Linked DNA regions of Cricetulus griseus. The protein of the gene in region 1 interacts with the protein of each later gene in a pairwise test. Links are inferred from orthologs where the notes say so. Each region holds a gene or a part of one and is shown in the gene's direction. Other genes may lie near its edges. The genes, in order: Cibar1 and Cby1.

Region 1 (4,508 bases):
GCAGGGCAACAAGAGAAGGCACATGGGTAGGCACGAGACACAGCCTTAATAGAATTCGGATTTCAAATCTGATTATAAGAACAGTGAAAGCTTTGAAAAGTTGTCATGATCTGAAGTGCATGTATTTTGCTGTACTTCAACATAACAGTGGTCTTGAGGAGGACAGTAAATGATGATGGGAGGAGGTGATAAGGTTGAATTAAAAAGGCATGTAACATATGAAGAAGTGAGTCACAATACACAAGAGCAAAGACTCTTCTGACCTTTGGTTAGGACTCCATTCTCAGAGACTATGGGCATTTGACAGATGGCTTCTGCAATAAATACAATGGAGAAGAGATGAGTTTACAACATGAGAGAGCAAGGAGTTCTAAAACAGAAGTAATAACATGTCGGGCTCTGAAATAGAAATTACAACATGAAAAAATAGGGGAATTTAAAGCAAAAGTTACATAAGACTGGGACATCCATTTGTGCAAGATAACCCTTCACAAACTTGTAGAAGGCACTGATGAGCACAAGACAAAAATCACATTTTCTCTGCTTCAAGGAGACAACACAAAATCAGGACTGTACTAGTCAAGTATGGGAGAAGCCCAGTGAAGCAGATAAAGCTTGATTTGGAAACTGAGTTCATTTGAAAGAGAAGTTTCTCTCTGTCTCACTGTCTCTGTCTTTCTCTCCCCTCCCCTTTCTCACCCCGCCCCCAACACACACAAGTCTAGGCCATAGGTGTTCAGAAGTTAAAGGAAAAGCTCTGGGTTATCCGTGTGTCTTCAAAGTGGAGACTTTCATCCAGGCCCACTCCATGGCTTCTTTCTTTGACTTATTCCCTAGATCTAACATCATCTGCAGGGGGAGGGGTGAATTGAAAGATGAGGCAGTAAGCACTGTTTTTTGTGCTATCTAAATTCTTTTTTTTTTTTTTTTTTTTTTTTTTTTTTTTTTTTTTTTTTGGTCAATTTGACACAAGCTTGAGTTATCTGAGAAGAGGGAACCTAGATTCAGAAAATGCCCCCATTAGATTGCCTGTAGACAAATTTGTAAGGTGGTTTCCTTGATTGATGATTAATGTGGAAGGGCCCAGCCCACTGTGAACAGTGCCACTCCTGCTCAGGAGGTCCCAGGGTATATAAGAAAACCAACTGAACAAGCCAGCAAGCAGTTTTCTTCCATGTCCTCTGCTTCAGTGCCTGCCTCCAGGTTCCGGCTTTGAGTTCCCAAATAAACTGTGACTTGGGATATGTCAGCCATAGAAACCCTTTCCTCCCCAACTTGTTTCTCGTCATGATCTTATCACAGCAATAGAAATTTAACTGATTCAGCTGCTCTTTTCCAAAGGCAGCTTCTGAGAGCCAGCATGACACATTCAACAAAGAAGCGTGGGCACATGGCATTAAGTCCTCACTGCCAGAAGCAGAGCCCGGACCCCATTCACCTTTACTTTCTCGTGCTCCTTCCGGTTACTGGTGGGTTGTTTTTCTCCTTTGCTTCCAGAGGCTCAGGAGAGCTTGAGAGCAGCACTGAAGGAGGATGCTCTGTGGTCCCTCAACCCAATGCCCTCTGGTTTCTCTTGCCCTGCTCTTGACCACAGGGGCGCGCGCCGCGTTGCCACGGAAACGCCGGGCAGGCGCGGGGGCGCGCATGGCGCGCTCTCGCCTCCCGGTAGAAGTGGCGGTGGCTCCTGTTCCCGCGCGCCGTGGCGCCCCAGAGCCGCGCTCGTTGGGCTCCCACCCCGGGTCTCCGGCGGGGAGCAAGGCAACATGTTGAGACGCAACCTGGAAGACCGGTAACTGCTCGGGACCTCGTCCTGCAGGGGCCTGGTCCTGCAAACCGCCCGGGGGAGAGGATCGGGTGGGCGAGGGGAGCCGGGCCCAGGGCTCGAAGCCGGCCGGGGTGGGAGGAGGCCGCAGGGTCCCCGGAGCGCTCTGCACCCCGTCCCCCAGGCTTCAGCTAGTACCAGGCCGAGAGAGTCTCCCAGCCGACCCATCCCACTGAGCTTGGCCAGGCCCTGCCGAGGTAGAGAACCCGGGAGGCCGCTGGGCCCCGGCCAGGGCTCACAGCTGCCGCCTCTTCTGCGGGCCCGGCCGGGGCCTAATCCCGGGCCTGCATGGTCTTAGGGTAGGACCAGATACTGAATGGGGTCCCAGAATAGGACGGCCCCCGGGACAGTTGGGGAGGTTGGGCTTCGGGATGCCCCGGGAGTGTTTGCATATAAAATTAACGGGACACCATCTTAATTTTTAAAACAGTGTCTCCTTTTTCTAGAGATGCTCAAACAAAACAACTGCAGTCTGCTGTCACCAATGTGGAGAAGCATTTTGGAGAGCTTTGCCAAATCTTTGCTGCTTATGTACGGAAAACTGCCAGACTGAGAGACAAAGCCGATCTCCTGGTGAATGAAATCAACTTGTATGCCTCTACCGAGACCCCAAATTTAAAGCAGGGTCTGAAAAGCTTTGCTGACGAGTTTGCCAAACTTCAAGATTACCGCCAAGCAGAGGTATGAAATTCGGTCATGGTGGCATTATTATAAACACAAGAAGTAGTGTGTAGGATTTGTGGAGATTTTTCCATTGTAACTTATCTTAACCCGGCGAATGCACACTTGATGGAGCATTTCCTGTCTGTGAGTCCGCTATAGGGAAACTTTCTATGAATTCACAGCTTTCAAACTAAACTTTGGGTGTGTTTGAGTCTTAAATTTCCCGGTTCATTTGCCAACTCTGGTTACAGGGTGCAAGTGTCCAGAAAAGGTGTCAGATACAGCACTTATAAGAAGGAAAGCACCTGCATATCCTGGGTACATCAAGTGCGCTTTAAAGGACAGCTAGAGATGGAAATGCTGAAAATGACAAAATGAACAAATTCCCAATAAATGGTCAGCATAGTGCTGATATTCCCTTGGTTTGAAAGTTGAACGGTCAGAAAGCTGTGATTTATAAACAGAAGCAAACCAAGTGATGTATCGGAAAGGTTGGCTGTGTGGTTGCTTTGAGTGACCAGAGTCTTGCTCTTGTGGGTTCTTTCTTAAAAAACAATAACAACAAAAACCCACATAAGCACTTTCACATCCTTCTTTTAAATGCTAGTTAACTTATAAAAGTTGCCTAGTTTAAACTTCATTGCTCTTTTACTTTTTAAACAAGTGCCATTGTTCTTTTCCTTGTTTACATTTCAGTTACCAAAAATTTTTTGAACTTATCATTATGCATACAAAATTTGAGTACTGATCACTCTGGGATACTGTAAGGAAAATGTTTTCTTGGCATACATTTCTTCTATAACAAGCAATACTCAATTATACATGGTAACTGAAGATTTAGTATTTTAAAAGTATTTTTTAATGCACAGATAATCCTAAAGTCCCTGTTTGCAGTAGTTTCCCCTTTCTTGAAAAATTTTATGCTACTTATCAAATAGCAAAGTGAATTGATTTGCATTTGCTCTGCTCTGTTTCCCTGCTTACCAAATGGTGGAGATGCTAATGAACATGACAAAGGTAGGCAAGGGAAAGAAATGGAAGCCTCTAGAACAGGCTTGAATAATCCTCTCCGTGTACGTTATTGACAATGGTGTAAACTGTCCTGAGTATTCAGAACTCTGATTTTAGAATTCTGAATATGTAAATTACTGATGGGAACTTATTTTTTACATTTTATACTTCCTAAAACCTTCTAAAATGAAACATCTATATAGCATCACTTCCAGAAAATAAAGCATAAATATGAAATAAAATTTCATTGATTGGGTATGAAATGGAAAGGCATTGATTAGATAAACATGTATCATTTTTGAAAAGCATTTTATTTGCTGTAAAAAATGTTTGTCTTAAGCAACAGATGCCATCTACTTGCCCACCCTGACAAAGTTGCAGTACCCCATCATTTTCTTGCCTGTGTATTTGTAGAAAAGATACTTCTTCGGTTTCTTTGACTAGTGTTAGTAAGAGAGTTACTATTATTTTTTGATAAAAATTTAAGTGAGTATGAGAAAGTGTTTAATTCTAGATAAAAAGAGATCAGCTGTACAGTTTGGCAGATCAGCAGTGCTAATCTAATCCCACTTATCTTGTTCTCTAGACTTTGATAAGTCAAATGGCTGTCTAAAAAAAATGCAGCTCATACAATAATCCCTAAGCTGTTTGCTTTTGAGAGTCTTTAATGTTCCTAGTAACACTGTATCTTTCAGATTCAGGCTTTCTGAAAAGTTGAGCTATAGGAATTAGGAGACGGGTATCTGTAATATCTGACAGTATCTGCTTGAACACATGATGAAAATGGTAGCTGTCCTAAAACTATAGATGCCTTAAAAACGTCCTAGAAGCTGCAGCTGTAAGGTAAACACTGTGCTTGTTCAAGGATGAGCGCTTTGAAGTGCCAGGCACATTCCTGTCAGGCTGTGTTCCAGGTGCTTGTGATTGAGGCTGTTGCTGTGTGTTTTACATTTTTAATGTTTGAGTGTAGATTCTGAGTATTAGCAATATCCAGATGATTACCCTTTATAAA
Region 2 (4,269 bases), about 250 Mb from region 1:
GTTCTTAAATTTGGTTCATGGGACTGAAGATAAATTTTGTTTTAAAGTTAAAAGCCAAAGCAAGGTTAATTTTAAAATATTTATGTTTAAGCATATTTTGGACAAGCAGAGTTAACTAAAACTGTAGTCAAGTTAATCTGTTTTGATTTTACTTTTAACAGCGTAGGGTCAGGTGTGGTACCACTAGCCCTTAATCCCAGCACTCTGGAGACAGAGACAGGAGGATTTGGAGACCAGCCAGAACTACATAGTGAGACCCAGGGTCAAATCCCAAGTGTTAAAAAGGAAAAAAGCGTAGGGGTTTGGTGTATGTGTGTACTCCCAGCACTGAGAGGCCAAGGCAGGATGAGTTGAGAAATCAGGGCAGCCTGGGCTACCCAGTGAGACCATATCTCAAAACAAAACAAAAAACCCCGAAGGTGCTTTGGGCATAGCTCATCGGTAAAGCGTGGGATCCGCGTGCACAAGGCTCAGGGTTTAACAACAAAAGGCTGCAAATTACAAGTGTGGTCTGCTTTATGTTTCTGTTGTAACATTAAGTGCTAGGCTAGATATGGCTAGTTTTGAACGTGAAACTCTCTCTTCTAATGCAGTGTGGCAAAGGTGGAGGAAAACTGCCCACAGACCGCCTGGTCCTGTCCCTTACAGCTGGAATGATACCTAGTGCTAGGCCGCTAGAAAACATCTCTTGGGTGGCCCATTTCTTCATTTACCAAACAGAACATAGTACACGCCGTTAGGAATTGAGGAATTCTGGAGGGGATTCTCCAGTTCTCCGCCCCTTGTTCATTGGGCGACCGACCTTCCTGGACCTGTTTCCCTTGCTCACAGTCATGAGGCTGCGGCAAGCCTGGCAGGAGCCGGTTTGCTGCTGGCAAGGTGTCGTCCTGTCTTACCTGAAAGCTTCGACGGAATCCCAAAGCCTCAGGGCCGGTTCCACCACGGGTCCCTCCGGTGACCCGACCAAGCTCTGGATGGCTGCCGGCACCCGCGGCCCCCAAATCACAGGGAATGGGAGCGCTTTGTTTTGTGGCCAGGGCGGGGGAGCCGGAGACCCGGCCATTTTGCTACTGTGAGTCCAGCCCAGGTCACTAACACATTCCCTTCCCATAACAATGCAGCCCTGAGCCGGCGCTGAGGCCGCCACCCGCGGTTACCATGGCGACGGCGCCGCCACCCGGGGGCCAGACCAACGTGTTTAGGGGCCCACTCCTCGCCTTGCCTATGCCGCTTAGCACGTGAGGAACTCCAGAAGACTTTCCCAAGGCCTTCCTCTCTCGGTGAACCGGAGGGGACCCGCGGGGGCCCAGCGGCTCCGCGTAGGCTCATCTGGGAGGTGACACCCCCTCCGTCCTTAGTGGTAAAGGCCATAGCCGCGGCGCACACGCGCGGTGGGAGCCCGGCGCCCGCCAATCGCAGTCGCGGCGGTTGACGCGGTGTGGGCGGATCCTTGCTTGCAGAAGGCTTGGGGATAGCTCTGGACTCCCACTTCGCAGACGCACCAGGTACGTCTGGGAGCGGCATTCGAAGTCTCGGGCTAGCCATGGTGGGTGGGAGGTGGGTGGGACACCCTGGTACCACTGGAGAGGGTGGTGGGCAGGCCGGGTGGTGGTATGCTCCGCGGGCGCGTCTTGCCTCGGTGACTCGGGACGGTGTTTTGACCCATCACTTGAAGGGTGTCTTAAACCGGTACTGAACTCTTATGGTTCTGTGTCCGTGCGCCTGCAGAGTTAAAGTTGGCCCTTAGGTCTTTCGAAACACTTTTTTCCTTTGAGAATCGAGTGAAAACCGAAGGTGCTTCCTTTACCTTCTTGTCGAGATGAATTCAGATAATGCATTTTATAGCCTGATGGGAACTAAAGCTTCGCACAGTAAGTACAGTTCCCTGAGAGGGGCACAGCTTGATCTGCTTCCCAGGGTTATGGTGAGCATCAAATGTGCCAACAACTTGTAAACACGAAAGCACTTCTCCAAGCTGGGTGCTGTTATTATTCCTGGTTATAAATAAGGGACTCGAGGGCTAGAGAGATGGCTCCTCGTCTAAGAGTACTAGTTGCTGTTGCAGAGAATCCGGATTCCATTCGCAGCTCATAACAGCCAGTAACTCCAGTTCCAGGAATCTGAGGACCCAAGGCACGTGGTACGCAGGACTTACATGCAGACAAAACACCCATACACAGAGAAACAATAACGACAGATAAAGCGTTTGAGGCCCTTGGTATAAAATGCTCAGATTGGTGTTGGTTGGAAACCAGGAATGGCCCCTTAACTTTCTTGATCCTGAGCCCTGCCTATGAGAAAGCTTCACTAAAGAACCCTAGGATTAAAGGTATTTAATCAAGGCAGGCATATCTCTATGAGTTCGAGGCCAGCCTGGTCTACAGAGTGAGTTCTAGGATAGCCAGGACTACATAGAAAAACCCTGTCTTGAAAAACAAAACAAAACAAAAAAACCCTAGGATCTCAGCCAGTTGATTATAAAGTCATCCAGAGAGTCATGCAGGGTGCTGTGATGGTCTATGCCTTGATCTAGAAGTGTGTGTGTGTGTGTGTGTGTGTGTGTGTGTGTGTGTTAATTTGTGAAGGGCCAAAAAATAAATAAATTTGTGAAGAGGACTGGGGAAAAGGCTCAGTGAATACAAGTGCTTGCTGTACAAGTATGAGGACCCGAATTCAAGTCCCCAACACCCCAGTAAAATGCCTGATGTGGACTTTAACGTCTGTAATTCCAGCATTGTTGGGGACAGAAAAAGGACTGCTTGGACTTGCTAGCCATCAGTCTAGCTCCAGGTTCAGTGAGAGTCCCTGTCTAAAGGGCATATGACAGAAAGTGATAGGGCACCAGACCTGGTGTCCTCTTCTGGACTCTGTACCTACACACACACACACACACACACACACACACACACACACACACCTCTACATGTACACATGCATACAGCACATAAACACATACATTTTAAAAACTGCCATGAAACCTTGAGGTTTTAAAACTTCTCTTTATTAGTTATACTTAAATTAAAAAGATGTGCCGTGGGTTGGTTACGCATGCCTTTAAACCCAGCACTCGGGAGGCAGAAGCAGGCAGATCTCTGGGTTCGAGGCCAGCTTGGTCTACAGAGCTAGTTCCAGGACAGCCAGGGCTACACAAGAGAAACCCTGTCTCGAAAAACAACAACAGAAAAGTTGACCTCTTTCCCAAACTTGAATGATGTTAGTGATTTTATGAGCATTGCAAGAGGTTGTGACTAAAGCTGGTGTATTGGTGACAGTGTCATGGTCAGCTCCACTATGTTCCAGCTCTCTCCTTTTCTTGAGAAACCTTACCTCTCATAACAGGACAGGTGACTTGACACATGGACCAAGTGATAAGCACCACTGTCATTCTGGGAATGAAATACCCAGATTGTAACTATCTTCTGCGGATATGCAGAAGTTAGTGTTCCTAGCGCAGCTCTTACTGGCTTCTGGGGACAGAAATCTCATTCTTTGGGCCACACTGTAATACTGGTGAGGCCAACCTGGGCCAGGCTTTTAACATAACTGTGAACATAACATAACATACTTTGGTTCAAATGCCCATTGCCACTGAAGACCTTAGCTTTCTAGATGTCACCAACCAAATGGGGTGACTAGGAGGGGCTTGTCAAGGGTTAATTGTGAGTTAAAGGAGATCATGCAATGGCATTAGCATAGTGGCTGGTGCATACAAAGCATCCAAAGCCTGGGAGCTCCTACCAGGACTTGTAGGACCTCAGGCCTCCCTTTGCTGTTCTATCTAAAAGGACAACTCTTGCCAGTAGATATTGCCAGGATTGGTAATTGTCAATGGCTAAAATGTTTTTATGTTTTGACAACAATGAAATAAAGTCTCTGATCTGTTTGACCCTAGGAGAAGGAAGTGCTGGAGTTTCCTCGAGTCAGGAATGCCTCTCTTTGGGAGTATATTCAGTCCAAAGAAGACCCCTCCTCGGAAGTCTGCCTCTCTCTCCAATCTGCATTCTGTGAGTGGAGATTGGGGTGCCACAAGTGGTGTCTGGGTGGAGAGACACACTGTGGGAGGGCACCCTTTCAGTTTATATCATTAGTCAACTTTGACTTCCTGTGTGGGAATTACTGTCAGAGTTTATTCAAGAACCCACTAATAGCCAGGCAGGATGGCACATGCCTTTAATCCCAGCAGTCAGGAGGCAGAGGTAGGTGGATCTCTGTGAGTTCAAGGCCAGCCTGCTCTACAAAGTGAGGTCCAGGACAGCCAGGGTTACACAG

What was found.
Region 2: the proteins of Cibar1 (region 1) and Cby1 interact in binary tests that used the Homo sapiens proteins (3 or more experiments, as listed by UniProt). The two-hybrid records come from large-scale screens. The link is inferred for Cricetulus griseus from reciprocal best matches to the Homo sapiens genes CIBAR1 and CBY1.

What each region holds. Positions count from the first base shown.
Region 1 is NC_048595.1:126,381,279-126,385,786, reverse strand, and holds the start of Cibar1 (protein FAM92A), read left to right. Parts: upstream 1-1,514; 5' UTR 1,515-1,556; coding exon 1,557-1,789; intron 1,790-2,268; coding exon 2,269-2,503; intron 2,504-4,508. UniProt on the Homo sapiens protein: Plays a critical role in regulating mitochondrial ultrastructure and function by maintaining the integrity of mitochondrial morphology, particularly the organization of cristae.
Region 2 is NC_048595.1:376,827,385-376,831,653, forward strand, and holds the start of Cby1 (protein chibby homolog 1), read left to right. Parts: upstream 1-1,405; 5' UTR 1,406-1,505; intron 1,506-3,892; 5' UTR 3,893-3,926; coding exon 3,927-4,004; intron 4,005-4,269. UniProt on the Homo sapiens protein: Inhibits the Wnt/Wingless pathway by binding to CTNNB1/beta-catenin and inhibiting beta-catenin-mediated transcriptional activation through competition with TCF/LEF transcription factors.